Saccharomyces cerevisiae S288C: one gene and its partner. Changing the gene in region 2 together with the main gene of any one other region gives a genetic interaction. Each region holds a gene or a part of one and is shown on either strand. Other genes may lie near its edges.

The links. A genetic interaction does not mean that the proteins touch.
Region 1: mutations in KRE28 (region 2) and PRE7 together harm fitness less than expected from each alone (positive genetic interaction), as found in Saccharomyces cerevisiae (one large-scale study listed by BioGRID).

What each region holds. Positions count from the first base shown.
Region 1 is NC_001134.8:138,742-143,064, reverse strand, and holds PRE7 (proteasome core particle subunit beta 6), read right to left. Parts: upstream 1,819-4,323; coding exon 1,093-1,818; downstream 1-1,092. Other genes in the region: ERD2 (Erd2p), read left to right, coding at 197-218, 316-953; FUI1 (uridine permease), read left to right, coding at 2,805-4,323. UniProt on the Saccharomyces cerevisiae protein: Non-catalytic component of the proteasome which degrades poly-ubiquitinated proteins in the cytoplasm and in the nucleus. It is essential for the regulated turnover of proteins and for the removal of misfolded proteins.
Region 2 is NC_001136.10:1,498,896-1,503,356, forward strand, and holds KRE28 (Kre28p), read right to left. Parts: upstream 1,659-4,461; coding exon 501-1,658; downstream 1-500. Other genes in the region: CAB1 (pantothenate kinase), read left to right, coding at 1-440; HSP31 (glutathione-independent methylglyoxalase), read right to left, coding at 2,552-3,265; FIT1 (Fit1p), read right to left, coding at 4,419-4,461.

The DNA.
Region 1 (4,323 bases), on a different chromosome or scaffold from region 2:
AGTCTGCACCACTGAATTCCTCGTTTTCCTTTAAAGATCCGGGATGGCTTATCTGCGGTACCCGGACTGAAAACGACGTTTTAGCTAAATATTGAACACGTTAAAAATAAGTTCAAATTTCGAGGCAGATGAATTTGCTGAGGGCACTTGTTCAAGAGTGAGATATACGCGCAAGTTGAGGCATAATCAGTAAGCAATGAATCCGTTTAGAATCTTAGGTATGTTACTATTTGGAGTTTCATGAGGCTTTTCCCGCCGTAGATCGAACCCAATCTTACTAACAGAGAAAGGGCTTTTTCCCGACCATCAAGACAGGTGATTTATCACATCTAACCAGTATACTGATCCTGATTCATAATATCAAGACCACAAGGTACATTGAAGGTATTTCTTTCAAGACCCAAACGTTGTACGCTTTGGTTTTCATAACACGATACTTGGATCTCTTGACTTTTCACTGGGTATCCCTATACAATGCTCTAATGAAAATATTTTTCATTGTATCTACCGCTTACATTGTAGTGCTATTACAAGGGTCTAAAAGAACCAACACCATTGCGTATAATGAAATGCTTATGCATGATACCTTTAAGATCCAGCATTTACTAATTGGGAGTGCTCTAATGAGTGTTTTTTTCCATCACAAGTTCACTTTTCTTGAATTAGCATGGAGTTTTTCTGTATGGTTGGAGAGTGTGGCTATTCTACCTCAATTGTACATGCTATCTAAGGGTGGGAAGACTAGAAGTCTAACTGTTCATTATATTTTTGCCATGGGATTATACAGAGCATTGTATATTCCTAACTGGATTTGGAGGTACAGCACGGAAGATAAAAAATTGGACAAGATTGCCTTCTTCGCGGGACTTTTGCAAACTCTGTTGTACTCTGATTTCTTTTACATTTACTACACTAAAGTCATCAGAGGAAAGGGTTTCAAACTGCCAAAATAAAAAAAAAACCTGTTTTAAATAGTGTTCGCAGCAATATATACAAATTTCAATATATCAATGCTATACCAAAAGAAAAAAAAAATACATAAAATTGATGTTGATATTGGTCTATTTCTTTTTATACTATGATATGTATGCATTAATCTCTTTTTAGCTCATAAAATTCTTTCCTTACACCATCCTTGGTGACAATAAGGATTTCCAGCCCATCACCCACTTGTATATGTCTTTCTGTAGCAGAAGTGAACGAGTCTCTCACCAGTTTGATGACTTCTTCCACGGACAAGTATTTCAAAGGCTTTTTGACTTTACCGTTTGTACCTGGCTCATATTGATTTTTGAAATTAACCTGATTGTCCAAAAATGGCATGATCAATGATGCCGCAGCACCACCTGCTCTACACTGTTCTCTTTCGTAGGAGCCAACTGGGTCGAACGAATAGACAGCGCCCTTACCATCTTCGTCAAGACCCGCAATGATCGTATGAACGTAGTAAGGGAAAAACCTCTTCCCGTACAGAAGATGTTGAATGTTCCTTGCTGCAGAGTTTATAGATAGTTTTTTGTCGTTGTGGTCGAAATGGTACCATTTTACACTATTTTTGAATCTTTTTACTAAAGCGTCGCCGTCTGCTGCAAATCCATTCGCCGACATGACTATGTTATCACCACAATCAAAAACCTTGGGTTCATAACGAGAATTAATTGAGTAATCGGTGATATTTCTTGTATCGCCTGCTAACACTGCGAAATCTTCACCTGCAATGCCCAGGATTGTACCACCATTATCACCGTAAGGATTGAATTGATGTTCAATGGGTGTATTTGACGCCTCCGAAGAGTATTCTGATGCAATAGTGGCCATATTTTGTTTAACTTTATAGTTCAATAGTCTTGGCTACTCTCTTTCCAACTCAGTTCACCTTGTATTATACCGCTTGTTTTTGCCACCCTTTGAGTTTCCTCGATCCTTTAAGTTGGAAAAGATAAAAACAATTATCGCTCCGTACGAACACCAAATCTCTGCGACGCAGAGACGGCAATACAAAATCAGAAAAAAAAAACAATTTATTGCCTATGCTTCACTAGTCACAGGCTCTACGAAACATTGCTATCGCCTCACTGCCTTTACATCACTTAAGCAAGAAGTTTTAAATATTACGGCAATTCCTTTGCAGCAATACCTTTACTTTATTTCGAGAGAAAATAGATCGTAAAATGCCTACTCCAAGCTTTTAAATCAAGACTCAACCAAGCCCCCACACTTATCTTTAGAGACTAATGCCCTAACTCTTTCGACTGAACGGCTTAGAAGTCTCATGTCCTAGCTAGTTTGTCCTTGCGATGGGACACAAACGGCGCTGCCTCTCCTGCGGGCGATCAGAAAGAAGAAAAAGAAATGTGATTGAGCCATGCCACAAAGCGGTATGTGCCATTAATTTCTTTTTTTCTCCCCTTTCGCCTTTGAGTTTCTCCGCGGCGTTCACTGTGGTTGATGCTCGGGATTTGCCGGTTTCGTCCTTATCGCGCCATCTTTGCCATTAAAGGATGCTGCAATAAAACTTGGCGGTTCTCGCTACTGAAACTATTGTGTCAGCCTGGACAACACAGGGACATGTCGTATTTTTGAAAATTTTTGATCAATTCTCCAACGGAAAAGTTTTTCATTTCCTCTCTTGCTCAATTACTCGATGACATGCTATCCTATCTTTTATATAACAGTAGTATTGCTTCGACCTTCTTGTAAAATTTAAAACATAGTATTGGACAGCTTTGCTTTACTTTGCAGCACATTGCGGAAATAAAAGGCGGTAACTAGTCCTCTCATTCATTAATTCTATATAAGAGAAAATGCCGGTATCTGATTCTGGATTCGATAATTCTTCAAAAACAATGAAGGACGACACTATACCGACGGAGGATTACGAAGAAATCACGAAAGAGTCCGAGATGGGTGATGCGACTAAAATTACTTCTAAGATTGATGCTAATGTCATTGAAAAAAAAGATACCGATTCAGAAAACAATATAACCATTGCTCAGGATGACGAAAAGGTGTCTTGGCTGCAAAGAGTTGTCGAGTTTTTTGAGGTTAAGAATGACTCTACCGATTTGGCCGATCATAAGCCCGAAAATCCAATTAGGACATTTAAAGATTTACAGGAGTCCCTCCGTTCGACGTACTTGTACAACACAGATCTGCGGCCCGTGGAGGCAAAAAGAAGAACGTGGACATGGAAGCAGTACATTTTCTTTTGGATTTCTGGGTCCTTTAACGTCAATACATGGCAAATCTCAGCCACTGGGCTACAGTTAGGGCTTAACTGGTGGCAGACTTGGATCTGTATTTGGGTTGGATACACGTTTGTCGCATTTTTCTTGATACTGGGTTCCAAAGTGGGGAACAATTACCATATCTCTTTCCCCATTTCCTCAAGAGTATCATTTGGTATCTACTTCTCCATCTGGATTGTCATCAACCGTGTCGTCATGGCATGTGTCTGGAATTCTACTTTGGCTTATATCGGTAGTCAATGTGTTCAGTTGATGCTAAAGGCTATCTTCGGTACTAATTTGAATACTAGAATCAAAGACACCATAAAGAACCCCAATTTGACGAACTTCGAGTTCATGTGCTTCATGGTCTTCTGGGTCGCATGTTTACCGTTCCTATGGTTTCCACCTGACAAATTGCGTCATATATTTGCACTCAAATCCGCCATCACTCCATTTGCGGCCTTCGGTTTTTTGATTTGGACTCTTTGTAAGGCCAAAGGTCATTTGGCATTGGGTTCCCTAAATGACAATGGTGGCGCAATCAGCAAGACGGTTTTAGCATGGTCTGTCATTAGAGCTATTATGAGTGCTCTGGATAACTTCTCTACTTTAATCCTAAACGCTCCTGACTTCACTAGATTCGGTAAGACCTACAAGTCATCTGTTTACTCGCAATTGATTGCGCTACCCGTCTGCTATGCCATTATTTCCTTAATCGGAATATTGTCTGTCTCCGCAGCTTATACATTGTACGGAGTAAATTATTGGAGTCCCCTAGACATTCTGAACAGGTACTTGGATAACTATACTTCGGGGAACAGAGCCGGTGTATTCTTAATATCTTTCATTTTTGCGTTTGACCAGCTGGGTGCCAACTTGTCTGGTAACTCGATCCCTGCAGGTACCGATCTGACTGCATTATTGCCTAAATTCATCAATATCAGACGCGGTTCTTATATTTGTGCTCTAATATCGTTGGCGATTTGCCCCTGGGATTTATTATCATCATCGTCAAAGTTTACTACGGCACTAGCGGCATATGCAGTTTTCTTAAGTGCTATTGCGGGTGTAATATCAGCCGATTACTTCATTG
Region 2 (4,461 bases):
CAGACTATAATAAAATTGGTCTAAAGTCGTCAGCTATTGCAAGTTCATTTGGTAAAGTTTTCCAAAATAGAATGACATCTAACAAATCTTTGGAAAACAACGAAAATAAATTATATTCCTCACATGAGTCTATTGAGAAAAACAATGGACAAATGTTTAAGAATCCTGATATTTGTAAAAGTCTTCTATTCGCCATCTCCAACAATATTGGGCAAATAGCTTATTTGCAAGCTAAAATCAATAATATACAGAATATATACTTTGGCGGATCTTATACCAGAGGACATTTGACTACCATGAACACTTTGAGCTACGCTATTAATTTTTGGTCACAAGGATCAAAGCAAGCGTTTTTTCTCAAACATGAAGGCTATTTGGGTGCAATGGGTGCTTTCCTAAGCGCGTCTCGTCATTCATCTACTAAGAAAACAAGTACGTAGATAGATTTCACTTTTTTTTTGGCTAGTAATATTACATACATCTTTATCTAGATAATTAATTTATTCGTTTGTTAGCTCGCTTATAATGTCATCCATTACCTCAAAGATTTGCACCTTAGTATTATTTCTGTACTTATTGTTAAATTTACTGCTCGCTTCAATGTCTGTGACTATATTGCCACCCGCTTTTTGTAAAATAGTAATGTCTTTTATCATTGGCCTTTTTAAATCGCTTAAAGATATGGCAATTATATATTGCATATCCTTTATTTCAAATTGTACTTTTCCAAGCTGGGTAAAGATTTCAAAATTTAATATAGTCGTCTTTGACCCTTTGAGTAAAAAGTGCTTTTCCCAAAATTTTGTTAGCAAATTAATTGACTGACATAATTCTGATTCATTGGCCATTAAATGTCCAGAATCCTCTTTTTTTGATTGCTCTCCTTTTCGTATTATTTGATTTTTAACTTCATGCATTTCCTTGAGCTCTTTCGTTAACCTTTGATTTTGCTTCTGCAAAAATAGTAGTTTTTGCCAATTCGTGTATGTCTCTTCCACAAAATCATCTGAATCACTTGAATTTAATATCGTATCTTTTTCTCCCATCATATTCTTATCTTCTTTGTTTGTTAAATTTTTTAGTTCATTGAGCGAATCCCAACAATTTTCAATATCACCAGTGGCTTCCAGATACAACTCATTTATTAAATCTTGCCTTTCTGCAAAGTTGTGACCGGTCTCTTGGATTTCAGCTTTGATTTGTTCTATTTTGCTTTCTTGAACATTCGAAATTTCTTCCTTTAAATCATTAACTCTTTCATTAAGTTTTACAAATTGGGGGTCTTTTTCGGAATCTAACTGCAAAGGTTTCGTCGAGGACAAAGTAAACCTGAAGAAATAGTCCAATGTCTCCTGTTCCAAGTAAGTCAACTTAAGTAACTCCATTAGTTTATTGAACTCCTTGATTTTTGCACTCAGAATTTTTGGATTTACAAAGACCTCCTTTCCCTCTACGTCTAAGCTCTCATCGTTCCTAAGAGGATTCACAAACTTGTTCTCTTCATTTATTGCCAGAATGCTGGAAGTAATTTCGTGCAATGTATTTTTGAGCCTTAGTTCTTGGTTATTTAGCACTTCTTCGCTGCTCACAGCAATAGAATCCTCAATATCCGTTAACACGGTCTCATAGTCCTTTATGCTCGCACTCCCTGTATCCATTTCTTCACTAATTTTGTTTTAAAGCTAGTCTATATGTTTTTTTCTATTGGTTGAAGTTTTTTTGATGCTGCTCATTCTCCTTGTGTTTATAAATAATGAGTTACGCGATCTTCACTTTTTTTACATGTGCTTATATTTAACTGCCTAGTTCCCAAGCGATGGCATTAAAGACAGCCAAATGCTAATTTCTGGTTGAATAACCTAATACGTATGCCCTAAATTATTTTTCCTTTTTAATCTGGAAGATATTGTTTATCCGGATGATATAACGTTCAATTTAATTGATGGGCATTACTAAATATTTTCAATATGACCAATTCGTGTCGACATTCTGCCATAATTAACCTGAGAAAAAAACATTTTTCGTGATCATTTAGCAAGAAACCGCAAGGAACAGCTCACTAAGATGCAAATAACCATTAGATAACTGAAACACACCTACAATGTCCCACATGAATAAACCCTTTAGGAAGCATCGGCAGCTGACAGAAATACCAAAATGAAAAAAAAAAAATTTAGAAAGTTTTATGTATAGTTTTACATATTGCATAGATGATTTGCAGCGTAACGACGCTAATGCTTTCTTCTCCATTCTCATTGATATTAACGTTGGCTAGATAAATGCTGTGCAACGGAGTGGCTGAAAAATAAATTGTAGCACCTTGTTGGAGACCAAATGTAGTCTTCACTATTAACCTCTAGCTAAAGCAGATAAAAGATAAAGATTATAAACTTTGGTTATTGGAAGACCCATCTCAGACATGTGTTTCCCCAATATCCAAATATTTCAACGTATTAACAATGAGGTACATCCCTCGTACTCAATAACGCCTCCTAAAGTTCCTTACATCTATATAGTAGTACAAAGGAAATTCTAATTATCAACCTTTGGCTCAGTTTTTTAAAGCGTCGATGGATCTTACGGCAGTGGAGTGCGCAGAAGCAGGATTCACACCTGTTACCAGTCTTCCGTCAGTAATAGAGTAATCATCCCAGGGCCCAACCGGAGCTAAATACTTAGCGCCATATTTTTTAGCAACATCTTCAACGGTTGCCAAATTCTTGGCTTTCAAAATACTATCAACACCCAAAATGGTTTCACCAACATCAGTAAAACCGGTGATAGATTTACCTTCGATCAATGGTCTTCCTGTTTTTTTGTCTGTTAACCCATCAAAAATAGCAGGACCGTGACAAACAGCTGCGACAACACCACCGTTAGCATAAATTTCGGAAGCAATGTCCTGCAAGTCTTTAGCCTTAGGATAGTCAAATAAGGTACCGTGGCCTGCAGATGCAAAAAAAATTTGGTAATCATCGGCATTCACCTCTTTTGGTGTCTTAATTTTAGCCAATGTCTTGTTGAAATCTGAGTCTTTATTTTTAAAATCCGTTTCGTCTTGACCATTTAGAAAATCTTTGGCTAAGGAATGCTCATCCCAACCAAATTTTCCGGTTTCAGATACAAAATCGACTTCAAAACCTTCTTTTCGGAATGTGTTGAAGGGATGTAAGGCTTCTACAACAAAAACACCGGTCTTGGCGCCGTCACTGTAGAATACATCGTTATATGAGGTAAGAGCGAGTAAAACTTTTTTTGGGGCCATTATAAATTTGTTTGAGTTTTATCTGTGTAATTAGCCAGTGGGAAGTACTTAAAAATGCCGTTAATAAAATTTAGCGGATGATAAAGAAATGAATGGTTCTCCTTATGGCTGTTTATATATCTGATTTAAAGGGTAACGGAAACCGGAAGCAATAATGGAACCGTGAAGCCATCCCTTGAAAAAATTTTCCATTTCTTTCATGAAGACTATGTACATGCCCCTTATGCCAAGCTTTTTGATTTTCAGGCTAGGAATGAGTAACGTTAATTCTCTGTATACATTCGCCCAGATTTCTTTACGGGATTTATGGATCCGTCAGAACAAAAAGCCGCCTCCCATGGATATCCTGCGTATTAGTCAGCATTATTTCTTTTATTCCGTAGCAGCTAAAAAATCTCCTAGAAAGAACGATCCTATCTGTCGCAACGGTACGTCGTGATTTTTTTATGGGCTTATTCTTCCGAAAGTGTTCATTAAAGCATTTGGTGCATGTTTAATGTTCTATTTTTAATACACGTAGTAAACTTCGTGTTTTCTTCTCTCTGACCTAAATTATTACAGCCATATATAACTTTTTTTTTTAAATTCGGATAACTGGCACAGTACCAAAAGCTAAAATTTCTCACAAAAACATAATTATATGACAAACTGAACTACTCATTGCTACAGGTAATTTCAATAAAATGCGCTCAATGAAGTTGTGAATTTGCTTGCTTGTCTTTCTCGACCTTCTTTCAGTATTATACTCCATTTGAATCTGATCACAAACACGAAAGTTCATTTCTTGTTTTGAACTATAAAATCATCATGTCATTTTTTAACTTTTATTTTCCTTGGCGTCAGATAAAACAAATACCCACTCTCACCTTTTAAAAAGCAAGAAATAAATAAAATGGTTATTTTTGAAAAGTCATATTTAACAAGTGAAATAGACATTGTTTTTAGATTATTTTAATCAACACCTGATATTTTCTTGATATAATATTACATACTGGTACATTCTTATAGACAGCCAGTGTCACGCAGACAAATAACATTGCGGACATAAGCTTTATCAACTATGATGAAATACTTAATTCACAATGCCATTTTGAAAAGTAAGACCACGGAGAGATCAGAAAGGTTGATTCTGCGCATCTGTCGTTAGCAGAAATTACAAAAAGATAACGGCAGCGAGCGCAGCGCCCATCAGACCC